Caenorhabditis elegans: one gene and its partners. The protein of the gene in region 3 purifies or fractionates together with the protein of the main gene of each other region. This does not show direct contact. Each region holds a gene or a part of one and is shown on either strand. Other genes may lie near its edges. The genes, in order: capg-2, smc-4, hcp-6 and mix-1.

The links.
Region 1: the proteins of hcp-6 (region 3) and capg-2 purify together in Caenorhabditis elegans (affinity purification with western blotting, with the first as the bait; one study listed by BioGRID). This does not show direct contact.
Region 2: the proteins of hcp-6 (region 3) and smc-4 purify together in Caenorhabditis elegans (affinity purification with western blotting; 3 studies listed by BioGRID, with this or other methods). This does not show direct contact.
Region 4: the proteins of hcp-6 (region 3) and mix-1 purify together in Caenorhabditis elegans (affinity purification with western blotting; 2 studies listed by BioGRID). This does not show direct contact.

What each region holds. Positions count from the first base shown.
Region 1 is NC_003283.11:12,269,954-12,276,168, reverse strand, and holds capg-2 (CAP-G condensin subunit), read right to left. Parts: upstream 4,297-6,215; 5' UTR 4,286-4,296; coding exon 3,981-4,285; intron 3,935-3,980; coding exon 3,224-3,934; intron 3,181-3,223; coding exon 2,799-3,180; intron 2,726-2,798; coding exon 2,261-2,725; intron 2,217-2,260; coding exon 1,789-2,216; intron 1,403-1,788; coding exon 661-1,402; 3' UTR 545-660; downstream 1-544. Other genes in the region: bnc-1 (Basonuclin zinc finger protein homolog), read left to right, coding at 215-544; tsfm-1 (Elongation factor Ts, mitochondrial), read left to right, coding at 4,620-4,703, 4,762-4,907, 4,989-5,416, 5,463-5,755.
Region 2 is NC_003281.10:4,585,628-4,593,525, reverse strand, and holds smc-4 (Structural maintenance of chromosomes protein 4), read right to left. Parts: upstream 6,026-7,898; 5' UTR 6,021-6,025; coding exon 5,871-6,020; intron 5,818-5,870; coding exon 5,752-5,817; intron 5,708-5,751; coding exon 5,393-5,707; intron 5,345-5,392; coding exon 5,171-5,344; intron 5,130-5,170; coding exon 4,837-5,129; intron 4,791-4,836; coding exon 4,046-4,790; intron 3,998-4,045; coding exon 3,740-3,997; intron 3,695-3,739; coding exon 3,260-3,694; intron 3,211-3,259; coding exon 3,003-3,210; intron 2,954-3,002; coding exon 2,448-2,953; intron 2,400-2,447; coding exon 1,881-2,399; intron 1,828-1,880; coding exon 1,604-1,827; intron 1,560-1,603; coding exon 1,021-1,559; intron 972-1,020; coding exon 880-971; intron 832-879; coding exon 706-831; 3' UTR 402-705; downstream 1-401. Other genes in the region: erh-2 (Enhancer of rudimentary homolog 2), read right to left, coding at 25-149, 194-293; F35G12.7 (Divalent-cation tolerance protein CutA), read left to right, coding at 6,291-6,367, 6,412-6,471, 6,520-6,607, 6,652-6,774; F35G12.5 (SPK domain-containing protein), read right to left, coding at 7,052-7,174, 7,222-7,317, 7,363-7,485, 7,536-7,661, 7,712-7,847, 7,895-7,898. UniProt on the Caenorhabditis elegans protein: Central component of the condensin I complex, a complex required for conversion of interphase chromatin into mitotic-like condense chromosomes. The condensin I complex introduces positive supercoils into relaxed DNA in the presence of type I topoisomerases.
Region 3 is NC_003279.8:5,163,173-5,171,152, reverse strand, and holds the start of hcp-6 (Condensin-2 complex subunit hcp-6), read right to left. Parts: upstream 6,006-7,980; 5' UTR 5,997-6,005; coding exon 5,813-5,996; intron 5,764-5,812; coding exon 5,519-5,763; intron 5,469-5,518; coding exon 5,010-5,468; intron 4,953-5,009; coding exon 4,779-4,952; intron 4,731-4,778; coding exon 3,697-4,730; intron 3,652-3,696; coding exon 3,558-3,651; intron 3,507-3,557; coding exon 3,029-3,506; intron 2,987-3,028; coding exon 1,914-2,986; intron 1,863-1,913; coding exon 911-1,862; intron 581-910; coding exon 494-580; intron 393-493; coding exon 49-392; intron 5-48; coding exon 1-4. Other genes in the region: let-630 (Small ribosomal subunit protein mS39), read left to right, coding at 6,272-6,370, 6,416-6,553, 6,598-7,893, 7,942-7,980. UniProt on the Caenorhabditis elegans protein: Chromosomal protein which is recruited to mitotic chromosomes by hcp-3 (CENP-A) and hcp-4 (CENP-C).
Region 4 is NC_003280.10:10,822,456-10,827,267, reverse strand, and holds the start of mix-1 (Mitotic chromosome and X-chromosome-associated protein mix-1), read right to left. Parts: upstream 3,023-4,812; 5' UTR 2,885-3,022; coding exon 2,791-2,884; intron 2,705-2,790; coding exon 2,621-2,704; intron 2,462-2,620; coding exon 1,530-2,461; intron 1,479-1,529; coding exon 1,327-1,478; intron 867-1,326; coding exon 761-866; intron 712-760; coding exon 572-711; intron 1-571. Other genes in the region: R06F6.12 (uncharacterized protein), read left to right, coding at 3,189-3,250, 3,301-3,478, 3,524-3,966, 4,012-4,100, 4,153-4,259, 4,433-4,807. UniProt on the Caenorhabditis elegans protein: Essential protein required for both chromosome condensation and segregation and X-chromosome dosage compensation depending on its binding partners.

The DNA of each region.
Region 1 (6,215 bases), on a different chromosome or scaffold from region 3:
AACGGGATGGGTTACTGTATCTCTAAAAGCCATAATTTGAGATCTTGGCAGGACCCACTCAGAAAACCATCATGTGCCTTTAAACCAAAGTGTCGAATTTTCACGAAATTACTCATAAAAAATTTTGGAATTTTTTACGGTTATATTCGGAATTCTGTAATTCAGAGAGAAACTACTACAGACACTAATTAACCGCTAAAACCTAAATTTTCAGACGTCGACACTTCTAAAACTGAAACGTCGTGTTGCCTGTGACATCTGTTCGAAATCATTTTGTGACAAGGGAGCACTCAAAATCCATACATCAGCAGTACATCTTCGCGAAATGCATACATGCACCGTAACGGGTTGCGGGAAACAATTTAGCAGCCGAAGAAGCCGTAACCGTCATAGTTCGAACAACAACCCAAAATTGCACATGCCCGAGTCACTAACCTTAACTGGTTCAGGACTTTCCATGAAGACTAGTTTGGATACATTTTGGCCGACCCGGTTTCTTCTTGGAAAAGATCATCCGCTGGATTTATCATTGAATCTTGTTTAAAACATTGTTAATAACTAAAACAGGAAAATACTTTTACAAAGAAAAAACAATAAAGCAGAAAAATATAGAACGTCAATGAGATCAAATAAAAGAATTATATATAGAGATTAATAGGGTTAGAGTCTGTTCTCATCTGGAAGTTGGACATCAAGAAGAGAAGAAAGACTGTTCAAAATGTGATGGGCTACAGTATTCAGATCTGAGGCATTCGCGAAGCAATCCAGCACTCTTGTAGTGCATTTGTCGATGGCTTCTTTGATTAGCTTTCCATGGAATTTTGAATATCGTTCGAGAATTCGTAGAAGTTGTGACAGTGCTGCTAGTTTAGACAGTTTTTCATCAGTTTTCAGTTCACCTTCTTCTGCCGTAAAATACTTGCTGTCTTCGGGAATATAATTGGTTGATATTTCTTCAATAATGTCTTCAGTTAGCGATTTTTCTTTGAGAATGAACTTGATTAGTGCAAGAGAAATGAAGTGTGGTGGTTTATAATCTTCATCGCGTGGATCATCATATGCCTCGTCGTCATTTTTCGAAGAAGCTGATACAATTGAGAATAACATAAAGTGATGCATCATACGTTTAGCTGAATCTTCGTCCCAATAATCAGTTTCAGAAACTCTCTTGTGAAATTGGCGTAAAGATTCCACAATTTCTCGATGATTTTTAAAAATGTTCTCTTCATCATCTTCCATCAAATCACATTGCTTATTCATCCATTTTGGAATAAATCTGAGAAGAAGTGCCATTTCGTGGTGCACTTCAGAATAAGATTCGTCGCACAGCGTTGTGCCCACTCGAAGAGCTGGTCGGAAGATTTCAAAAGGTGTGGAACTATTACAGAAGGACTTGACGATTCTGAAAAATAAAAATGATATATGACGTCTTATAAGACATTTAGAATAACTTCACTGTTATTCTATCAAGAAATGAAAACCTGTGGTTAAATACCGAGTAGCGACAGTGGGCATATCGTCTAAATACACCGAAGATTTTTAAGTTCTTCAAAATTTTTAGTTCAAGAGAAACCCATTTTTTGGCTTCCATAATTATTAAATAGTGAAAAGGATATTAATGAAGATTTAAGACAATCTTATTTAAAAAAAAATTTTTTTATGATATTCGACCATTTTTGTATGGGAATCGTTGTTAGCAATTTTCCACTGGCGTTGCTCCATATTTAAATCCCTTTCTTAATAAATATATTTCATTTCTAAAGAATTAAGTCTTTCGTATGACCCTACCTGCTTATAACTTCTGCTACCGTAGCCTGATCTTTCGCTGCATCATTTTCTTCTCTTGGATCCCGATTCTCGTTATCTTCCTCATCTTCAAATTCGACAGGTCTCGTTTTGAAATCATACGCAGATAGTGACACGTTTACACAATTCAAGAATGTACTTGTTAATTGAATGAGAAAATCTTGATTGTGTTCACCAAAAGTCGCCATTTGACTTGAAATATTTTTTTCAAACCAAAGAAGAAGGTTTTTCATTGACTCGATAGTTTGGTTACGATCCGCAGCATCTTCAGATCCATTAGTTGCAGCGAAAAAGGGCAAAATGAATCTAAATTCGAGTATCGACAGAAGAACATCATCACTGAGAGTGTGCTCCTGGCCTTCTTCTTTTGCAAGCCTAATTTCAATTCCTTCTCGAATTAGATCAATTTTCTAAATATAATATTATTGTTTCAATAATGAACTAATACACAAACCTTCAACAAATCCAAGACTTTAGTTCGGTATTCATCTTTCATTGCAATAAGATTTGATGTACTGTGACTCTGTAGCAAATATTTGAGACGGTTCAACGTCATAATCAGTACATCTTCTGGATCCTCCAATTCACGTCGTTTCTTCTTACTCTGTTTCGTTCCATACAAATTTACAAGAACATTAAGCCCACTATCGAATGAATCAAAAACAGAATCCGGGTTGAAATGAATTGCAGATTCAAGAAACGGCTCAACTGCTTCTGGAGGAACATCGTCGTCTTCCAGTCTTGCGAGAACATCATTAGCAATTGATTTAAGGTAATCTTTAGGAATGACACTGCTGATTGCTGTCGCAGTTCCGAGAATAGGAGTGTTGGCGTATTTTTCAAATATTTCCTTGACAACTTTTCCAAATATTTGATCACATTTCGCTTTTGAAGTTCCATCGCCATCTGACATCAGCATCTGAAAAAGTTTAGAAGTTTATAATGTTTTAAAAAAGGTCTTCAATTTTAAATTTGAGAAATAGAAAACTAACTCCTTTGCATGACATGTACAGAATGAGAGCACACTCAAGATAAGCTCTCGCTTTTTTGTATCCTTCGGCAGTCTCTGGTAATGGAGGGCCATCCTTTTTACGAAGATAACGATATGCCCAGGTTATAAACATTTCGATAAGTTTGGATGCTTGGGATGCATCAATGATTTTCATTGGGCCAAGCAATCGGAAGTAACTCAAAAGAGCCAATCGACTTTTTCCTAACATGTAGTTGACACGAGGACGATAGTATGCTTCATCCAGACTTTTCGAGATAGGAAGACAAATATGCATAATTGGAATCAGTTGACGGCGGCAGGTCTCTACGTTTTCCAGATCGAGTTTCGCAATGGCATCATCTCGAGTAATGATATCGAACACACTGAAAATTTATTTTTTAGTTTGTTGATTTGGGTTCATTTTACCTAATAAATTTATGATTCTTCAGACGAGAAATTATTTGGTAAGCAGCAAGACGAACTCGTTCAGATTTATCCTGTAGTGCTGGATCAACGGCACATTTCAATCCATATTCGAATGCTGTGAGACATGCCGGAACAAATGCCATTTCATTAAGACCTTCAAAAACGGCGACGCGGACGCTGACAACAGTGTCTTTCGCGACTGTATCAATGATGTATCCCATGAGTTCCTTCACGATATTTTTTGGAATAAGAAGCCAGAATTCGCTGATTGCCTTCAAGACATGTTTCGTGGCTTCGCTTCGAATGGAAATAACATCACTACGTAATAAGTCCATCATATATCGATGTTGGTTTTCCATTATCCTATCCATGTCTTCAGTATCCTCGCCAATTAGTGGGTAAAAATTGAAAAATACTTCTGCAGCTGATGACTGTACAATGTAATTTGGAGCGTCCAGCGCTCGGTAAAGACATCCATTGAGAAGCCTTGTCACCATTTCATCTACACTTTTGTCCAGTTTTTTCGCGTGTGCAAATGCGGCAATCACATTTTGAAATTTAGTGCAGGTAGGCCTGTGAGCATATAATGCATGCTGACACATGACACTGATCACATCGGTCTCCAATTCCTCTGTCAAATCAAAGTTAGCCTCCTGATATGCATTTCTCCAAGCTGTGACGAATACTTCACCATACCTTTGACATTCAGTGCTGCAAAAATATATATAAATGGAATTCTTCAGCGTATAAACTTTACTCGGTGAGATTGAACTTTAGTATTAACTTCTCGAGTAGTATCAGTCCATTTCCAACACCAATTTTTGGGAGAATTTCAGCTGATAATTTTATACCTTCCGGACAAATCAACAAGGCTGGTGCGAAGAAAATACACCGAAGAGTCGATGGATTTGCATTGGCAATAATATCTTCTTGAACTGCCCACAATTTTCTGATGAATGTTTTCTGAAGAGCCCGACCTCCTTTTCCACGGAACTCTGTGAGTAACTCATTCCAGTCTTCTGATGGTTGTTTGTTAGGTGTTACCGGATTGCTCTTCGGCATTGATCTCTTTACTGAAAATTTCTATGGAATTATAGAATTTATTTCAACAAAAAAATAGCAAAAAATAATAGTATTAAAGTTTTCACCTAAAAATAATTATAAATAATCAATAAAATAATTCAATAATATAATTTACCTCGCAATTAAAAAAAAAGAAACACATTTTCCTTGTTATGTTCAAAACGAATTCTTTCGCGCGGCCGTCTTTCTCATTGGGGCGCACTTGCCTTTTCATTTTTTAATGCAAAAAATGCCCAGAAAATTGCATAATTTGCTTTATTCTCTTAAAATAATTATCAATATTGACTGAAAACTAAAGTTTCCAATTTTAGAAATGTTTGCTAGAGCTCCATTTGTACGTCTACTATCAACGACTAGTCGAAACTTGGCTGAGGCCGAAAAGAAAGTCTCTAAAGAGGTATTAAAATCTAGGAACCCTAATTAATTTTAAAAAATAAAAAATAATTGTTTTTCAGGCTCTAATGGCTCTTCGAAAAAAGACTGGTTATAGTTATGTGAATTGTCGTAAAGCACTTATTCAGTTTGGCGAAAATGATATGGATAGTGCTGTAAAATGGTTGAAAGAAGCTGCAGCGAAGGAAGGATGGGCCAAAGCGGCAAAGTAAGTGTTTATTTTGAAATTTTTTTAATTTGGAATGTTGACTTCACAAGGAATTATTTTAATAGTTATAGAATATTCCAGACTTGGAACTCGTGTAACATCGAATGGTCTTGTATCTGTAGTCACGGACAACTCAACAGCAGCTGTGGTAGAACTCAGTTGTGAAACTGATTTTGTGGCGCGATCTGGAGCTTTCAAGGATTTGTTGTCAAACATCTCCAACTCTGTTCTCGCAAAAGCTAAGCCACAATCTATATCGAGCGGCTCAAAACTTCAAGAATTCACCTATGATCTTGGGGATCTGACCGATTCCGACGGAAAAAATATGCGTGAAGTGCTCTCCCTTTCAATCGGAAAGCTTGGTGAGAACATGACAGTGAGAAGAGTTAAGGCTTTTAAAGCTCCCGAAGGAACAACTTTGTTTGGAGCTTCACATCCTAAAGATGGAACTGATGATATCCCGATGGGACGGTTCATTTCACTCATCGCTCTAAATCAATCGAGTCCAGGTGAAACAAAGAAATAAAGTAAAAAATTAAGTCTTAACATTTACAGGGTCAATCAGTAGTCAGCAACTTGCCGGACAGATATGCCAGCACATTATCGGAATGTCCCCGGAATCCCTCGGCGAAGCTGCAGAATCTGTGAAAACTCAAGAAGGGCTTCGTAGTCAAGAAGGGCATGATCCAAATGCTGATCCAGTTGTTGTAACTAATATTGATGAATCGGAAACTGCTCTTCTCCGCCAAGCCTTCATGTTGAATCCATCTCAATCTGTTCATGAGTACCTAAAATCCCACAATGCTAACATTCTCGATTTTGTTCGTGTAGAGCTTGGAAGCGAATAATTAGATAAAAGTGGTAGTAACTTTATTTTCATGCCTTATTAGTTTTTAGAATGCTTTTGTTTCTCTGTTTTGTTAATCGATAAATAAATTTATCGACATATAAATTGAATTTAAAGTTTAAAAAATAAACATTTGCAATTTTCAGAACATTCCTCCGTGGAAAACAATTGAACAAGAAGACGATTAAAATGCATTTATTTTATTTCAGAAATTCATGGTCACTCGGATTTCTGTCGAAATCAAATGTATTTTAAGGTCACAATCCGCGAAAATTTAAAACAATTGTTGTAATATAGTAAAAATACGAGAAAACTGCTGAGAACACTCAGAAAACATATATATTTTTGGGGTACTGTATTGGTACTGTAGGAGTAATTGGTGATGTAGGTGTACTGTAGTATCACTGAGCTCTTTGTTGAAACATGCGATATTGTTCTAAATTGTATCGTTCTTAGATTTG
Region 2 (7,898 bases), on a different chromosome or scaffold from region 3:
GATATGCAGATCAATAATACATACGCGATTGAAGATCATCATAGAAACATCGGAGAGCTTATCGAGAAACTCGTAGACTTGCGACACGTCGTATGTGACTGGAGCAGCTGATTTCTTGGAAAGGAAATCTTCAAACATCTTGCAAAGAGCTGAAAAATTCCATTAAACATAATAATTCTCACGGAATGGTTACCATCAAGAGCGTCAGTTACACTCTCATAATCTCCCCAAGTCCGTGAATCAAGACGTGGTGATGTTTGAATCAGAAGTACGGTATGTGAAGAAGTAGACATATCTGAAATTACATGCATAACACGAGTTACAGTGAAAATCCACAAAATAAATAGTGAAAATGGAAATCTGAATCAGATTAACCATGAGGGATATACTAGTCAACGCTTCACCGATAAACGTTCTTATTTCAAACGAAAAGACACATAGCTCAATTATATCATTAAATTACAGTTTGGAGCCGAAAAAAAAATACAACGCAAAATGGCTCAAACTTTGGCCCTCAAATTAAATATAATTGAGAATAAGAATAAATAAAAAGGAAAAGGGAGAGATTTCTTGAACAGGGAGAGGTTAAAGAATTGCACATGAGTATCATTTGCGCGAGTTTAAAATAATAATAAACGGAAGAGTCGAGGGATCAGAGAACTAATACCCGTCAAAACAAAAGAGGATAGAACTTTTTTGAATGAATTATTCCATATCATCATCGTCATCAACGATTGCCTTCTCCTTCTTTTTACTCGACGGTGTCAACGGTTTCATTGGAGATCGTTTTGGTGTACTTGCGGAATTTGAACGCTTTGAAGGTGGAGTAGTCTGAAAATGGGAAATAAAATGAGTCTCAAATTTTTTAATGAAACTAACCTCATCGGCCTCTATGTTTCGTGCCTTTCTCGGGCTACGAACATTCTGTGACGACGATCTTTCGACAAGGCGTGGAGCAGGATATTTCATTTCTAAAAATAAGTTGTTTCATTTTCATAATAAATACGCCATTGGTCTTACGATTTATACGAGATTCGGGTCGACTTGCTGACCGACTAGCCGGTCTTTCAGTTCCATCGCCACTTGTCGTTGCTTTGGATTGTGGTCTTGAAGTGACATCTCGGGTAGTTTGAATCAATTCTTTCCTGACACGTCCTTCAACGTTAACAATCTTTTCGGCCTTTGAAATCTCATTTGATGATGGGAAGTTCGGATATTGTTTTTCTTGTGCAATCATTTCCTTATTCTGCCGACTCATTGTCTCATTGAATCGTTGAGTTACTTCATCAGGAAGAGTACACGTGGCCTGCCCCAAACTGTCCGTAATTTGCTTCGCCATCTCACAAACTCTCAATGGATCAATGGCTACATTACGAGTACACCCATCAACTTTATAGATACCAACGAGACGATTGGCGAGTTCAAACATATTATTTCTCAAAGAAATAATAATAAACTGCGCGTTTTCAGTCTTTTGTCGGACGTATTGGGCAATAATCGAAACGTTACGATAGTCGAGAGCAGCATCGATTTCGTCCATAACGTAGAATGGAGTAGGTCTAAACGAGGGATTATAATAATTATTAAAGAAAGTATTTAGTACCTGAACATGTGGAGCGCAAAAATGAGAGCCAATGAGGACAATGTCTTCTCTCCACCCGAAAGGAATTGAATTTGCTTCCAAGCTTTCTTCGCTGGGCGAACCATAAAACTGATTCCTTGTCGGAATGGATCGTCTTTATCAATGTATTCCAATTTGGCATCTCCTCCGTCAGTTAGCATTTTGAAAACGGCAACCAAATGTTTTCCAATGAATTCGAATGCAGACTGAAATATTTTTTAAAAATTAATCAGAAACCTATCAACGTCTGATTTCTTACATGGAATTCTTCAAGTCGCATCTGCTTGATTCGTTGAAGTTCTTGATTATGTTTTCGATGTACTTCTGTGGCTATTGTCAACTTGATCACTTGTTCATTGTATTGCTTGACCTTATCAACATAAGCTTTAATCGATGAGATATCAACTTTAGCTTTCAATGCTTCCACTTGTTGTTCACACACTTTCAGCTTCATTTGCATTTCTTCAGCGTCTCGGCTCGAAATCTCGTTGATTTTCTCGTCGGACAGAAGCTCGACCGGTACCCGGTCCTCTCCGTCGACATTCTCATACGATTCAGTGTTTTCCAACACTTTCTGTCGCATTTCGAACTCGAGAGCGTACGCGGCGTCACTCATCACGCAGGCCATATGCTTCTTTTGTCGTTCAACTTCTTCTGGACTCTGATTTTCATCAACCACCGGCATTTTATCATCGATTTGCATTTCGAGATCTTCTGGCCGACTTGATTCGATGAGAAATTGGAATCGTGGGATTCGATTAACTTTCAAAGCAGCGAGCTGTAAAAAAAGAACATTTAATTTAATAGATTTTTATTAATAACAAACCTTCTTTTCAATATCCTCAACCTTTAATCGATCTGCCAACATACTTTCCTTCAACTCCTTTATTCCCTCACTGCACTTTTTCAATTCTCCCTCCAATTTCGTCTCTGCAGCTGACAATTCCGATTGTTTCTTCGTCATTTCCTCTCCTTTTGTCTGTAACTTCTTGATTTGCTTTTCAAAGCGCTCAACCGTTTCTTTCTTCGATTTCACTTCCTCATCATCGATTGCTTTCTCCATCAATTCTTCGCACTTTTTCTTCATCTTCTCAATGTCTTTATCGTGTCTGGAAATGTTCTCATCGCACTTTGCAATGTTTCTGCCCGAATTGGAAATATTTGCAGTTTCTTTGGCGATATCCTTCTCAAGTTTTTGACGTTTCTGAAGAGACTCTTTGGCTTCGTCTCGATGACATTGTACAAGTTCCTTGAAGATTCCGTCAAGCTTACTCTGAATTTCAGCTTGACGAGCTTTTACTTTCGCAGCTTCTTCGCCCAACTCATCTCGTTCTGAAATGAAATATATTACCCAAATCATGATGATATGACGGAAAATTACTTTTTTCGAGCTCCTCAACAATCTTCTGTTTATCTTCTAATGTCTTCGCATCCACCTTAACTTTCGCTGCTTCTTTTTCTTGATTTGCGATCGTTTTCTTGAGGGTTTCAATTGCTGGAGCTGCAGATTGAACTGAAGAAGTCACAATAGACAAACGATTACTCATTTCAGCGACTTTGCGACGTGCTTCGATTAGCTGTCCGTCCATCTAAAAATCGGTTTGTTATATTTTATATTTTTATCCTTTAATATCTTACTTCATGCTCTTGTCCTTTAAGTTCATCAGCTTCATCTCTCAATTTTCCAAGTTTTTCAGCTAAATCTCGTTCAGCGGCTTTATCTTCAGGTGTCACTTGTTTAGCCATCTTATTTTTATCCGTGAGAATGAGACCTTTCACTGTTTTTCCACCTCCTGTGAATGATCCAGATGGGTGAATCATAGAACCTTCTAGTGTGCACACGGTAACACCACGACAAGCGGGCATTCTATGCATTCGCTGAGCTTCCTGGGTAGAATCGCCCACAATTGCACTACGCACCATATCATAGAATGCTGGTTTAAGAACAGGATCACAATCAATCAGATCAATAAGACGAGGAGCAGGTAATGGGTTCGTCGGATTGGGAGCTAAATCTCTCTTATCACACTTAATTTTGTCCAATGGCTGAACAGTTTGTCGAGGTAATTTATTCTGAAAACCAATGTATTCCTAGAAAATGAGGGTTATAAAACTTACAGCAACTAAAAAATTGATGACATTTTTTGCATCTTCTTCTTTCCCTACAATAAGATAGTTGAGACGGGCCCCGAAATTTGTGCAAATCGCTCCCTCATATTTCGGATCAATGACACCGAGATCACCAAGACGACCGTGAAAACTTTTAATTCTTCCAGCTTCTTTTTCCTTCATTAAGGCTTGAATAACTTTATTCGAACTTGAGCAAGACGAGTTTTGCTGGCGAAGAGTTTCGAGACGATCACGCGTTTTTGCCAACTGTAAAATAGGATTTATTTAAATTTATCAGGCTTTTTGAAAACCTACATCTTGATTCTTCTGTCTTGCCGTATTTCGAAGAGTTGGCAATTCTGTACTCAGTTGTTTTAACTTATCATTCCAAGAATCAAATTCCGGCTTCAGCTTATCTAACTCATCCTTCTCTTTCGCATAACTTTCTTCTGAAGATTCTAATCGTTTCTTCAGTTCGATAAGCTTATCCGTTCCAGAATTCGCGAGCTTCTTTAAATCCTCGAAATCTTCCCGTGCAATCCTTGCTTCACCTCGAACTTTGTTAAATTCGTTGCTCTTCTGCGCCCAAGTCTCTTGAATCTTCTTTTGTTCTTCTTTTGGCGCTTCAGAGCGTTTTTCAAATTCATCAAGATTCTTGTCGGCTTCCTCGTTAGCTGTTTTCTCTATTTCAAGCAACTGTTCCACTTCTTCCTGACATTTTGCGATTTTTCTCTCCGCCTTTTCGGGTGCTGCTTCCAGATTTGATCGCTTTTTAACCTCTTTTTCCTTCTCAGCTTCCGCCTTTGAAATATTAGCTTGATGCCTTTTCAAAGCCTCCTTCCTGCGAGTCTCTTCAGTGCCCAAGTCGCTCAATTCCTTAGATAGACTATCAAAGTTTTTGTCGAGTTTCGAACGCTCTTCAATCATAACTTTCTGAGCTTCCTCAGATTGTTTGTATTCGTTTTTGTTGGTATCCAGCGTTTCAGCAATCGATTTCATTTCTTCTTTCATCTTGTCAAGTTCGGCTTGTTTTGGAGCAATTTTATCTAGGTATCGTTGCCTTAAAACGTTAAATGTTATTTTAACCTGGAATATTTCAGAACTACCGTCTTCTTTGCTCCAATTTCATATGAATCGTTGTAGCCTCGTTTTCTTTCATCAGAAACTCAATTGCAGCTCTAACTGGATTCTCCATAGCTACTTTGCTGTTTCTGGCGTGATCACGAGCGATTCTTTGTTGAGAAAGATCACAAGTAAGACGATTGACGCGTCGCTGGAATAATTTAACAAAGGGCTCGAGTCGGTTTGTTCCGATAATATCCTCCAAATATTCAACCATTCCAGTTTCACTTTTGGTGGTTTTCACTGGTTTCATCATTGCAATTTGTTCGACTTCTCCCTGAAAAAAATGTTTATTACCGGTTTTATTGTCACTTTTACCTGAAGAATTAGAAAACGATTATGCTCAATATCAATGTCAACGCGTCGTAGGCGTGCTTCAACTTCATTCTTCGTTGCCGGTCGACCATCGATAGCATATGAGCTTGAGTTATTTTGAAAAGCAGTTCTAGAGATTGTGAACTCAGAATCCTTGACGACTTCGTAATGCCCAGGCTGAAAAAAAGCAAATTTATATTTTATTAGATTCTCTGATTCACTTACAATATCGACGATCCGCTGAAAATGAATAGTGACTGTGCATTTGTCTGGATTTCTTCCAGCACTTTTGTGAATCAAATTTGACACTTTTGCAGAACGAATTTTGGAAGCACGGAAACCGAAAACGAATAAGAGCGAATCGATTAAATTAGACTTTCCAGATCCATTTGGACCGATAATTGATGTGAAACTTTTGTGAAATGGTCCAATGGAAGCCTTGCCGAAGTAACTCTTGAAATTGTCCACTTCAACATTGCGAATCATCAAACGATCCGCCCGATTCGGTTTTGTAAGGAAATCGGGTCGCGATGGCAGTTGCTGTAAAATGTAATGACTTTAATATTAAAAACAGAGTAACATACCAATGAGAAAAGATCACTGTCGTCGTCCTCTCCGTCGCTTCCATCAAATTTTTCATTTACCGCTCTCTGAATAAAAATTTCAGTTTTATTGCTGCTTTTAAATATTCTGAGAGGGATACCTGTAGTTCTTCTTCCGGGTCCTTTGATCCTTCCTTGTGTCGGTTCACAGGCTTCGTTGTCTTTTTCTGCGGCTTTTTAACAGGAGCGTCATCAAAATCAGAATCAGATTCGTCTGATTGTGGCGGCGCCGCCGAAGTCTTCGGAGGCATCAACCCTAAAATACGTTGATTTTTAGGATTTGAGTGCTTAATATGAAAAAGACATTTCCCAACAAAAACAAAAAGTGGGACAGCAGCGGCTAAACAATTATTGGCGGTGAAATTCGAACAAAATTTTGGCGCGCATACAAGTGTGTGCAAACACCGTGACGCGCAAGTGCGACCCATACATTTAATTATACGACGAGAGCTAGAATGAAGTACGGTAATTAATTAAACATTTCTGAATTGCTTCAACATAAAATAAGTTTTCAAATAAAAATGACAACACCCGCTGTAAAAATGGTTGTCGCGTATGTGACAGCTCCGAGTAAGGAAGTTGCAATGACTGTGGCAAGGTATTTTTTTGTTTTCTGTCTACCAAAACATAATTTCATTTCAGAACAACTGTCACTGAAGCATTAGCCGCTTGCGCCAATGTTATTCCGGAAGTCACATCTGTGTAAGTATTTTATCTTTTTTAAATCTGTGCGAGAATCCAGATATTCAGATACAAATGGCAAGGAAAAATTGAAGAAGATCAAGAGCATGTCGTGATCTTGAAAACTGTAGAAAGCAAAGTCGAAGAGCTATCAGCTGTATGTTTTTATTTCGGATCACTAAGATTTTCATTCAATTTCAGCGTGTTCGATCTCTTCATCCGGCTGAAACTCCGTGCTTCTTCACACTGGCCATTGACAAAATAACTCCCGATTTTGGAGGATGGATTGTGGATTCTACGAATTCTTCAACTGCGAAACATTGAAACTTAAAACTTTATTCATATTTATTTCTACCAACTAAACATTAAATCAACGGGAACTGATAAATACATACAAACAGATTTGGCTAAGGAAAAAAACATCGTAATAAGAAAAAATGCTCCGAAAATTTGAAGATTCCAAAATAACGATTTGAGCATGCTTTTTTGGGGATTGTCTTGAAAGCTTCAAATTTTTTTTTCGAGCGATTCTGATGTGATTTAATGAATTTTTTTCAAAGAGATCGAGTTGAACGGGAAAGACAGGGCTATCATTAACTAGCTAGCGAGCATCACTTCGAACTCCAACAGCTTTGTCTACAATGTTAAGCGAGAAGACCATCGGGACAGCAATCTTGTATGCATGGCGTTTGTATGTATGATAATCATATTCCGTCCAAAATAACTGAAAAACATTGAAATGTTTTCTCATATATGTTCAATCATTCTTACTTTTTGCTCCTGAATAATTATCTCAAAGATCCTATCCATGCTTTTCTTTTCGTTATTGTATTGTGTCTCCCATCCCGGAAAGTCTTCACACATGAACTGAAAATTCGAAGTTGAAAAGAAATCCACTAAAAAAACTCTCACTTTGTGGATGCTGTATGTAGATTCTGAAGCGGACTTTGAACTAACATATTGATAGATCATAGAAAACTCACAGTCTCCAATTTCATGGAAACCGAGAAATTTAATTACTTGGTTGACCTTCACCTTAAAAATATTGATTTACTTTCTTGACCAATCAAAATATAATAGCTTACTCTGTTCATATTCTCAGAATCCGAGGGCATTATCAAGTTGAACTTCACGTAAAGGCTCTCTTCATTCAACAGCGACAAGAGTGTAAATGAATGATGGTTCTGTATCCAGGACCTTGGGATCACTTTCTAAACGTACTAAATTTCTCCCTTGTTTAACAATAAGATTAAATTATTACCTGAACCTCTTCCTCAAAATCAGTGTAATTAAACCCATCTGGATTTTTCTGATCAAGTTTCTGCAGCACGTACATGGTTTGCGGAAAAAATCTCAAATTTTTTGCCCACCAAATTTCAGCGAGTCGTCTTGCTTCCCTACAGAAAACCGAATAATAAAATGCATAAGGTGCTTGATAAAATACTTTT
Region 3 (7,980 bases):
CTTTCTGTAAAATTAAGGCGTTTTGTAAATTCAAGAAATTGTGAATACCTTACTTCTGTTTTTCAAGTCTTCCTTTTCGGTAATAGCCGACAAATTAAGGGAGAATGTGACATCGCTTGGATCTGCGTCTTCTCGTGATCGAATCGGAGTTGAACAATGACGTCCTGCACCAAGCTTACTTTCATCGAAAATCAACGGAGTCACTCCGCGTGACAGTGGATCATTTTCAGTGTTACCAGATGAACTTGTTGGCACATTTTCCTCTTCCTCGTCAACAGATTTCCGTTTTCGATTAGAATTCTCTTTCACGACTGGTGGCTCTGTTGACTGACCCCGACGACTACGACGCAAAGTGACGTTGGCCGAAATATTGACTTCCTTTTCCGGGGATTCTTCAAGAAAATAAATTATTTAAAACACATTTTTTCTTGTGTGAAAGCGTGGTCAATAAAATACAGCAAATTGAACAATGAAATCAGGAAAAATAACTTACTGTTGACAATTTTCGGCTTCTTCCATATTTTTCCATCAGCATCCACAGACTCTTCATCATCGTAATTTGGCGTTTTTCTACGACGAGCTGGAATAATTTTTGAATTCAGACGTTTTTTTTAGTATTGTTTATTGTTTTCGACGATTATGCATTGTAGTTTTTTTCAATCAAAAGTGAGCGAAAAGCCTGTCGTTAACTAACAAATTAATATAATTTTCTGTCGAAAAATAACACTCGGAATTGTATCTAGTTCACAAATGCCCAAAATTATCAGATTTTGCAACAACCAAAAAATTAAAACCAAAATTATTTCTCCAGTTTCGAAAGAATTTTTCTTGTGCAAAAAAAATCTAATTTATTAGATTTATCTAAGCTAAGTTCCCTTTCATCCAAATTTCCGCTCAACCATATACATACATCTTCTAGATTCCGATTGCACATCGACCACCTCGTCCTCTTCAGCTTCTGTAGCTGGAGGTATTTCAACAGCTATCACAGTTTTCTCCGCATCAACATGATCATTTTCGGCTGTCACAGTTTTCTCGGCGGCTGCCTCTTCCATTGGTTCCTCCTCTACAATGGTCTTCTCTTCTGTCTTGTCGGCCTGTTTAGAACGGTTTATCGTCGTATCATCTATCTTGGTTTCTTCCAAATTTGGAGGATTAAGGCGCATTTCAGTGTGAATAAGTGCTCCCAGAGAGCGACGAATCTTTTTAATAGTTTTTGGTGACAATAGTCTCGCATTCGGAGTAGACTTCTCTTCTGTGGTACTTCGGAGAGCATTTAATGGAGTTCTGGGCACATCAGCATCCGGGTTCTTCTTCTGTGGAGTTCTCATTTCTACTTCTTCTTCCACGTTTTCTTGATCTTCCTCGATTCTTCTAGCAGGTGACCCCATCTCAACAGCTTCAGCACTCTCTTGAACTGGCTCAGCATCGAGTTCCATTGGCGCCGGCGATTTCGAAAGTCTCTTCTGCTGCTTTTTAAACTCAGCGACTCTCTTCAAATACTCGTCGAGAATTCTATTCGCCTCCTCTGTTCTCTGTTTAACTCTTTGCAATTCAAACATCATCTCGTCCTTCAATTGACGATTGTCTTGAAGTATTTCGTCTATATCGTTCTTGTGTTCAATACATATCATTCGAATCGCGAGAAGACACTTTCTTTGGAGCGGCGAGCGATGTTGATTGAGAAATTCACGAAGAGATAGGATAGAAGGTACGATGGTTTTCATGTAGTGATCCAGATATACTTTTTGCATGAAGCCGGTTGCAGCTTCCAAAACTTCGGGAGATGGATCATCCATCGCATTTTCATTAGGATTCTTCCCGACGTCCATTTTCACTTGCATTTCGTTTGAAGCCATTATCTGTAATGCGAAAATTAAGATAAAATTGTAACATTTGTATTATTTAGTTACCAAAAGAGCATCGTCAAGTAGGCATTGAACATTGTAATCGCTGAAATCGTACTCTCCATTGACAATCGGAGTAAAGATACGCTGACAAATGCTCATTTTCACATCAAATCGGGAACGATCATCCAAAGAATCAATCATGAACGTGTAGATGGCAATTCTGGATGGTCTAGCCAATGGATCACCACCTCCAATAGCAACATCAACTTGTCCTCTGTCATCTTCATCGTGACCAACTCCAACCAATCGTCGAGCTTGCGTAAGTGCAATCATGTACTGTACAAAGTTGAGAGGGAAGAAGTTGGGCTCTTCAGATTGGAGAACCTCACTAATGTAAAGTTTTGCGTCATTCCGAACATCTTCATTGGCGTCAAGAGAAGCTAACATCATACGGATCATGATTTCTCCATTAAACCGAAAAATACCAAACGAGATTAGTCGAGCAATCTGATTGATGGCGTGTCGACGAACAATAACTGAAGGATCACACAACGATGCAGCGAGCATTGGCGCATATCGATCTGTTTTGTAGGATGAACAAATATCACCAATGGCTAGTACGATATTAGACCGAATTTGATGAGCTGTATTGTATTGAAGCTGTTTCACAAGCATCGGCATCAGTTTCAATAGACGATCGTGCGCCAAAATCATATTCGCCAAGGTGACGACTCCAACTGCACGGACTTTATCACTGAACATGGCACCTTCATGGGACATCATACCACCCTTGGAAGACTTCTGTGATGATGGAACTTCGGATAACTGAGTTGGTGGTCGTGTATGATGAACAGAAGGCATATCTGGATTAACTGTCGACGCATCAGAAGAACCGTTTTCCGTGGAATTCACAATCAGCGAAAGCGTTTTTCCGAGTCGTTCATGTCGCGGAACAAGTTGTGGTGAATAGGAAAATACTTCAGATGCCACGTTGAGAGCTGTACATAGAAGCCTTTCTTGACTTTCGGAATTTCGTTTCCATTCATCTTTGTCTTTGAACATCTCAAACGATTGCACGATCGTATCGAAACATTTAATGAGAAGAGTCTCTCCGAAATCGCTGAACTCTTTTCCATCTGAAAATAAAAATTGAATTAACATTTAAAAGAAAGACGTACGAAGAGATCTATCACCAATTCCGTCCATTAACTTTCCGAGACAATGGTAGATACTTCTAGAATGAGATGGATGCAGGCAATAATCACGAAAAGTTCCTTGCAAAGTGTTCACAAGATCTGATTTTGTATCGTCATCGATTTTCTTGATATTGTTCTCAATGACGTGGATCATGTATTGCACGAGATTTGATTCTCGAGACAAGTCAACTCTGCTGAACGTCTCAATCGCAAAATCAACGTTCTGTTCAAACTGAACACACAACTGCGAGAACACCATCCATGCGCCATCCAGTTTCTCACTGCCACTAATAATGTGCTGCTTCATCGAATCCATTACTGTGCGCTTGACGAGTTTTTCACGAACTGCATCTTTCAATGTGCTCATGAGGTATTGACGGTGATTGGTGACAGATTCAATTGTATCTAACAGCGTCCATGTGAGATCCGATGAGTTTTCGAGTAAGGGAGTGAGAACTTTCTGGAAATTGGAAACAAATTAAGCTTCTATTATAAATAATTAAGCCCATACCATAATCAACTTTCTGGCATGTTCAGTGACGTCATTATCTGTATCATTCAGCATCGAGATCAAGGTGTGAAGCCATTTTGAACTGAGACTTTCTCTGAAAATAAAATTTGTTTTAAATTTCGTCAAAGATTACAATTACTTGAAAAGGATTGCATCTCGTAACATAAGTTCTGTAAACGCATCGGCTCCAGTTTTTCTGACTGAAACCATTCTGTCTCGACATAACATTTGAAGAATTGAAAGCACAACTTCAAATTTCGATGCTTCGTCGCAATATGATAGATATGATTTGAGAAGCGAGCACGCAGCCTTCTTGACCGGAGCCTTGTCGTCAGTTGATAGTCGGCGCACGATCATATAAACTATATCCTTTTCAACGCGTGTCTCTCCCTTGTTCATCAGTTTCAACTTATTGAACTTTTGAATGATTTGCTGCTCGTCGAGAAGTAGATCCGTTGGCTTTTTTGTTTTACTACTTGGTGCTTTACCAGAAACATTTAAATCTTCAAGACTTTCACTCAGGTTGTCGCCCACTGCGCCGAACTTTTCATCCATTTCCGCATTTATTGTTGCGCAGAACAATTGGAAAGCTTCTCGATGCGATTGAGACTGAAGGATTTTCGTCAAACTATTGGCTCCGTGAAGTCGCATAGCTGCAGCTTTATCCAAACAAGCCATGTAAACGATGTTATACAGAACAGACATTGCATCCATTCGACCAACTTCTTTAACTTCCTTCGCCTTCTTTTCTTTCTTCTTCTCTTCTTTCTTTTTAGAAACATTCTCCTCGTTATCGCCATCATTCTCTTCGTCTGATTTATCCGACTGTTCTTCCTCTTTGACTGCAACATCATCCTGCTCGTTTTCTTCCTCCTCTTCTTCATCTTCCCCTTCCTCCTCCTCATCCTCTTCTTCATTCTGCTCTGCGTCCAAGTTTGGAATAGCTCCTGGGTCAGGTGCGGTGAAGTCAAAACTGCTGATGAGAATACTCGAGAGCTCTGTAGACAAGGATTTTACTCCGGCTCCGCGGCCTTTGAACAAGACATTCATGAACTGGACAAAATCATAGGTATATGTGTATGGAAGAGCTTCGAGAATCTTGTGGATAAACGTGGCGATATTTGTTCGAAACTCGGCTAGATCTGGACATTGTGAATACACCATCACAGTAACCTAAAATTTAAAAATAAGTTAATAAAATATTTCGAAGAAACTGCTCACTGTCTGAATATACTTCAACTCTCTTGCTTCGGGATTTCTTGAAATTCGTGATAGAATTAAATTGACATGTAATTCACCAGATCTCTTTCTCTCCGTTGAAATCTTTGAAGATTTATTGCTTTCATCTGGATATGGCATCAGCGCAAGGCGAGGGCGAATAAGTCTTCCGTAAGCCTAAATTTGTACTAACCTTATTAATTTGTTTTGTAATTTTTTTAATTTTAATCCCACCACTTCTGCTCTTGTTTTATACTTGCTTTCTACTAAAGAATGCACAAATGCACAGTATCGATCCGTAAATCGCTCCAACGATCGGAACTCGTGGACTGAATTCGCTCGAATCGCTCTTCCTGCGGTTCGATTGTCAAGATCTAAACGGCCGATGTCTTCCACGACTTCTAGTGTGCTCATGAGTGTTGGTGTATCAATACTGAAGGTGTTGCTATGCAGAAAAGCAAATAACTGGGTTGTGAGATGATGCAGGTATCGCTCAGCCGAATCGACAGCAATTCGAGGGGGACCAATTATAGGATCTGCTGCTCCCGTTGTTACAGTCATTTCTCCATCCACATTTGTTTCGTCTGACTTTCCACCCGCTTTCTTTTTCTTTGCTCCACTTGATTTTTTTGTAACGACAGTCTCTCCTATCCTAACTGTATGACAACAGTTTCGAATAATTTTCAGACATTGCTGAAAAAATAACATTGATTATATGACATGTAATAAACCCGTATACTTACATTGTATAAACCAATTTGATAAAGATCTGAGATTGCTCCAGGCAATGAGCACATAGCAATATAACTACTGGCAGCAGAAACTCCTTTATCAACATCCTCTTCCGAACTGTCAGATCTCTGTCCGTTTTCGAGAAAATACCAGACGAATAGATTAAACTTCATTGTCGCCACATCACTTTCTTCAAAAATATTCCGAATATCGCATTTCTTTCCCGAGATTACAACGCTTTCGGCAAGTTTCTTTACTGAAAATAACAATTTTGAATAGTGAAGCTAACAAAATTCTCAACATACGCTCTTTCAGAACTCCACTCAGATCTTGCTCGAAAAAAGTCAGGTCAACAGAATTTGTGAATTCTTCATAATCTTCATAATTGCATTCTGCTGAAGAAGTTGCAACGGCATCGTCAATATCGTTGAGAGACCGGAGATTTGACTCAAGAAACTCCGATAAATCTTTTTCGTTGATATTCGACATTGAATCTAAAATAAAAAATGAATCATTTCAATAAGGGTAATTTAAAACGTTAAAAATAAATATTTAGGAAAAAAAATTAGGATCTCTGTTTGAATTTACCGCGTTGAGATTTTTAGGCCACGGCCATTGTGTTTCTAGGCCATGGTGCAAACACGGCGCGCAATACTGCGGACAAAACATTTTAACACCCGATTTTTTTTTTTGGTTCTTACTTAGGCTTTTTACGTTTTGAGTGTTTTTCATCTTTCTTTGCTTAACTTAATATTTTTTAGGCAATGATCGGCCGCATGGGACTTGGCAGAGTTATAACTCGCAGTTTATCGTCGGTTGAGCCTGCATTATCTCAAAAATTGACAATACAGCCAGCAATCGAGGTTGACTATTTTTAAAAATTCATACTTGAACTTCTATATTTCCAGAGATCTCCAACAGATTTGTTAAATGCCTTGTCAGAAACCGTTGGCCCGGACACAACTGCTCCACATTTTGCCTACATTGACGATCCAATTACCATTCCTTCCACGCAGTCAACGAAAAAGACCTATTTTATGGCGAAGGTAAAATTTTTGCCGGAATATTAGAATAAGTTTGATAATTTTAGGAGTTTGGCAAAAGAGCTGCACGAGAACTAGCTACAGAATGGCCAACCCTCTTCGCTTTTGACAGAGATCAACCTCAGCTCCCGGTTTTCCGTCCTCGACATCTAGCAGATCCCCTTCAAGTTGAACCGACAGAGAATAACCTGCTTAAAATGATTTCAAGTCGAGAAGTAAAAGACTCGTGTATTTTGTATGAACGCATGCGATCAGAGAACGTTGACGTTAGCGAGAAAGTCCAGCTGGAACTATTCCGTCTTGTAACCTATTACAATTCGTCAAACGTACCTTTCGCAGAATGGGAGGAGTTTGTTGGAATGCGCAATTTTGGAGAAGATTCTACATCCTCATGGAAATCGGGTGCAGTCGCTGATCTTCTTTTCGAAACTCTCCCAAAAACTGATGAAACCGTTTCTATAATGATTGCTGGTCTATGCAAGTTTTCTGATCATTCTAGTTTGGAAAGAGCTAGAGAATTGTACAAGGAGCATCGAGCTGCAAAAGGAAAAGTTTACCGAGAAGCGTTCAATGGATTAATTGGCGCTTCAAGCTACAGTGTCGGGAAGAAATTGGTAGCTGAAATGATTTCCCTCAGAATGACACCCGATATTTTCACGTTCAATGCATTACTGTCGTCTGCTGCAAAAGCTGGAAAGTTTGAAGATCGTGTGAAGGCGTTCACTGAAATTATTGGAGAAATGAAAGAGATTGGAGTTGAACCAGCACTGTCATCTTTTCATTTAATTATCAAAAACATCATAGATTTTAAATTATTGGATAATGAAAAACGAGAGAGTGACGAGCAAAAGAAGACCTATAATCACCAGCTCACCGTGGCTATATCTTGGCTCAATGAAATTCAGAATAGCCTTACTGGAAAAACTCTCAAGCCGATTACATCCACTTGTAATCTTTTCTTCGTCGAAGCAATGGGAATCCATTACAGAGCTGCAAATGAGAACCTCGCAGAAAATCTTGTTTCAATTTATGAATCCAAAGCAAACGAAGTAAAGATGCCAGCATTCACAATTGAATCAATGTTCTATAATAGACAATTACAATTGGCTGTGGAACAAAGTGCTTCACTGAACAGAATTTATGATTTGTACACCACCATGGTACCACGACTTGTTGGAGTCAACAATTATCTGTCATCACTAGTTTTTCGAAAACTCGCTGCATCCTCCGATCGTCATTGGCCACTGTTACGGAGAGTAATCATCGACGGTATTGCAGCTGGACAGATGAATGGAGTTATTGGAGAAGAAATGCGCAAACAGTTGTGTAATGTACAACTACATGTAAGTTTTATTTCCAAATATCTTGTGTTTTTTACAAGTTTTTTTCAGACATTGGGAACTAGTGAACGGGAGCAATTCACATCTCTT
Region 4 (4,812 bases), on a different chromosome or scaffold from region 3:
ATTTATTGCATATTGTGATAGTTTATCACGCAATTTTCCTAAATTTTGGTGCTTTTTCAGTTGATTATGCCGAAACTCTCGAAAAAAAATTCGCGAAATTTGAAATTTTAGCTGAAAAAAAGCATTAATTTTTGAAAAACAACTGTTTTAAAATTAAAAAAAGTTTTCTCAAAATTCCGAAAGAAAACTATTTTTTAAAGCTAATATCTCGAATTTTACCAACTTTTCAGTGTCATAACGGCCGGAACTTGGTTCGTAGTAAATTATCACTCTTTATTGCACGTTTTTTCGTTAATGTTGATGGCTTTTCGGTCGATTTCACCAAAAATGTGCAGAAAATGCACCTGAATTCACGAAAAAAAAACGCATAATATACTACAAAAATATATGTTTTTTTTTTTTCATATTTAAATATGCAATAAAAAGGCGATAATTGAATAAAAACCAAGTTCCGCTCGCTGCGATACTGAAAAATTGACAAAATTCGGGTTTTATTATGAAAATAGGTTTTTTTTTTTAAATTTTGAAACGGTATAACTCTTTTAAAATGAATTTTCACACAAAACCTTACTTGTATGAATTCAGAAGTCTCGTATCCATATCCTTGAGCTTAGTGATGCTCTCATGCAATTTTGCAGCGTGTTCTCGTTTCTCCGTATCAGCATCTATATTGAAACCCAATAATTGAAGTTGCTTATTGATCTCATCGACCTGAATATTTTTAAGTTTTCGGAGAAAAAAAAATTGAAATATCTGATACCTCTTTTTGATAATTATCGGCACTTCCAATGTCAGATTTACTTCTGGCTGAGAGAGTAGCTTTTTCGCCTTCCAAATGTTTAATTTGGTTGTGTAGACGTTCACCGCTGAAATAAATTGCCAATTTTTCAATGATATTCCTATTTAAAAAAGTACATTTCTTCTTTTGTCCCATTAAATTTACTGAATTTCCAAATTAATGCATTATTTTTTCGATGTTGTGTTTTCTTTCAATTTTTGCAATTTTTCAATGAAATTACATCGTTTGTAGTCAATTTTTTATCGTTTTATGTTAATTTTTCTGTTTAAAAATTGTTTAAAACCAGTTTTCAATGTAAAAATAGTATAAAACTGGTTTAAAATTTTTTAAACAGAAAACTGAAGAGAAAACGACAGAATAATTTCATTGAAAGTATCCGCAAAAAAACTATCATTGACGTTTTCAAAAAGCGAAAAAACGAAACTTTTTGTTTTTCGATTTTTCTTAAAATATCTCAAAATTTTTGTCATTATTCTTATCGACATAAACAAAATTAGATTTTTTGTTCCAATTCTCAGGAAAGTTACCGTTTCTTCGCAGCAGTAATCCCAGATGACATTTGAGACGCAGTCGACTTGCAAGACTGTATTTCACTCTCAATCGACACATGTTCTCCTTTGTCATTAGCAATTGTTCCTCTCGTTAGGGATTCGAGGTCATTACGGTATTTTGTGACGAGCTGAAATTGTTTTTTTTTAACTTTATTTTTAGAATAATTTCTCGAACTTACAGCTTCATCATCAGATTGACTTTGAATATCTTTCGAGTTAGCCGCCTTTGAATCTTCGTGTTCTTTTCGTTTTGCGTCGAGAACTTCACGATCTTTTGACAAGCTTTTGTTGATTTGTTCACCTTCCTTTTTGAGTTTATTGATTGTTTCAACCAATTGATTTTTGACAGTCTCCTTCTGAAGCATTATAGATTGTTTCGAAAGATGAGCCGCTGAAAGTGCAGCCTCTTCATGTTGATCATCTCGAGATTCTTCCATCTTTTTCTTCTCATCTTCCTTATTCTTCAAGTCAAGATCAAGCTGATTAAACTTTTCACCGAGATCTTCAATTCCCTTTTTGGCATCTTCAATCTCTTTTGCACTTTTTTTCACCGCTTCACATGTTTGAAAGTATTGAAACGCCTCGTATTTTCGGGAAAAGTTCTCTTTGAGTTTCTTGAGACGAGTCACTTCCACCATATTCTTTCTGTCTTCACGGAACTTTACCATTCTCGGATCAATACTTGATTGGAAGATTCTATCAACTTCTTTGAGTTTTGCATCTTTTAAAAACATTGTTTTCTCCGCGTCTTTCTTCTTCTGATCATACATCTTTGTTCCAGCTGCTTCCTCAACCATTCCGAGGATTTCCTCCGGCTTCATGTTTAGCACCGTAGTAATACGACCTTGCATGATGAGAAAATGTGGATTATTCACGTTCAAACCGACGCCACGGAAGAAATCTTGCATTTTTCCATTTGTGGCCGCATGCCCATTCAGTGTGTAACTCGTTGCACATCCTTTTCCAGTTGCTTGAGCTGTGATGATTCTCTGAACGACGATCTCGTCGAGATGTTCCATTCCGAACGGGGAGCATCTTTTATCAGTGTTGTCGAAGCGAACTTGGACGATCGCTTTTGTTCCACCATGGGAAATCAGCTCGTGCATTGATTCTGGAATGATATTTGACTTAATTTTTTTTTCTAAATTTCAATTTAAAAAATCTTTGCTAGAAATATTATGCTACTCTGATCTTGTGCTTTTTCAGTCCGAAAGCGCGTAAGTATCACTATGACAACAAAATAATTTTGTGATGAGAAAGAGCCACATACTTGCTCTGATATTATCGAGCTTATTGATTCCCATAATGAAGCAGATCGAATCGAGAATATTGGATTTTCCACTACCATTGTATCCTGAAATAAAACAATTATTATACTATATTTTATGCTGAAATTAAAGTTTTTCAAACTATTAGTTTTCAGCACAAAACTATACTCACCGGTGATTGCGTTGAAAGTCGGCGAAAAATCGAGAATATCGGTGTGCTTTTGGTACGATTTAAAGCCATCCAGATGGATGGATTTAATGTGCATTATGAGCGCACCCTGTCGAATTGATTTTGAACAAAAATAAGTTATAAGTCGATAACGAGTTTGAGAAAATGTTTATTTCGAAAGCCGAATGAGCTTTGAATGTTTTTTGGCGCGTCTTTTGAGAAGTGTGCAGAGTGGCGTGAGAGTGTTTGCGGACTGGAATGTATGAGATTTGACGCGCAAAAGTTGCCTTGTGATTTTTGTAATTTTTTTCTCCTTTGTTTTTTCTCCTTCGCTATAATTTAGAGTCATTTATTAATTTTTATTTTTTAATTTTTATTAAACAACGAAAATCGTTGCAGATATGGATTCCGAAAAAGAAAATCCTGCTAGCCCAACAACAGGCCGTGAAGAAGAAATTCCTGGGTAAGAATAAAAATCACATTTTCTTTCAAATTAATAAATGGAATTTCCAGATCCTCCCCAGAAGGTGTATATCCTGCCGATGAAGATCATATTTTCCACGAGGATCAGGCCCCACTTCGAGTTGAAAGTGCTAAGCATGAAGAAGAAATTGTTGAGCAGCAGCAGCAGCAGCCGGAAGATCTTGAACAAGGAGATATGATTGTGGAGGATGGTGATCAACAGTTTATGGTATTTCAAGCTTTTCGATGAATTGAAAGAATATTTATATTTCAGAATATGGTTCAAATCACGCAGGAAGACATGTACGAAGCGGGTTTCGATGTAGAAGCAGGCTTTGAGCTTAATCATCTCACCGAAGAGCAGCTGAACATTGTGGTGGCGATTAGTCAACAACGACAGGCGAAACAAAACGAGCAAGAGCACAATGAAGAAGTTGTCATAGAAGATGGTTCACATCATCACATGGTTCATCACGAAATGATTGAAAATCAATTTGAAGGTGATGGAAATGGGCCGGAGGAAGAATATGATGGGAATGGTCAGATAATCGATAATGCAATGCATATTATTCTGACAAATGATGGTGGAGTCAATATTACATCAAAACAGAAGCAATTCTATGTTTCCCCCTCCGAAATCGCCAATTTGAACATTGATTTAAACAATTTAAGCACTGAAAATGTCCATCAACTTGTGCAACTTGCTCTACCGCCCATGTAGGTCAACACGTAGAATTTTAACTATATTTTTATTATTTTTAGAAAAGAAAAAGCTCAAGATTCTGCATACAACGATCAGGCTCCATCAACAAGTTATCACCATCATCATCATGAACAGTTGGAAGCTGGAAGTGAGTTTCAGAAGCTTATTTGAACTAATTTTAATTATCCAAATTATTTTAGAATCTACAAGAAGCCCAATAATTGGAGAAACCGTTCAAATTCGGACAGCTGATGGTCGTCTTCAAGATGCGGTTGTCAAATATGTTCGAGGCGATTCGGAGTACAAGGTGAGAAACTCTTTACTTTTTCTGTTTAATTAGGCAAGATAAGCTCTGTTTTGATCCGATAAAATGTAATTATTTTCAACTTTTGGATCAAAACAGAGCTTTTCTAGAAAAAACGAAGAAAAATGCTCATAAAACTTCTATAAAGTATATTTTTTAAAGCTTTGAAATTTCAGATCCAATTAATGAATGGAGAATTCGCGTACGCCACCATCGACCAGATGCTCGTACCCCAGCGAGACCGAAGTGATCACGAGTATCAACAAGTTGCTCCGCCCGTCTTGCTCCGGAGGACGGATATGGCTTCAGTTCGAAATGCTGCTCAAAAGCGATCAGCCAACGATGATCTGTGCCCTCCAGTTCTGAAAAAGTCGTATCAGTTGGCTCCTGTCGTCGACGGACCACATCTAGTACATACTCCGAACTTTTGTTGCCCGATTTGTGATAAGAAGGTCTACCAGAAGGAGCCATCGTACATTGTTATTCGGCTACCAGCTTGTGATTCATGTACTCGTGAGAAGATTATAGTTCTTGATGAGCAAAGCAGTTGATATTC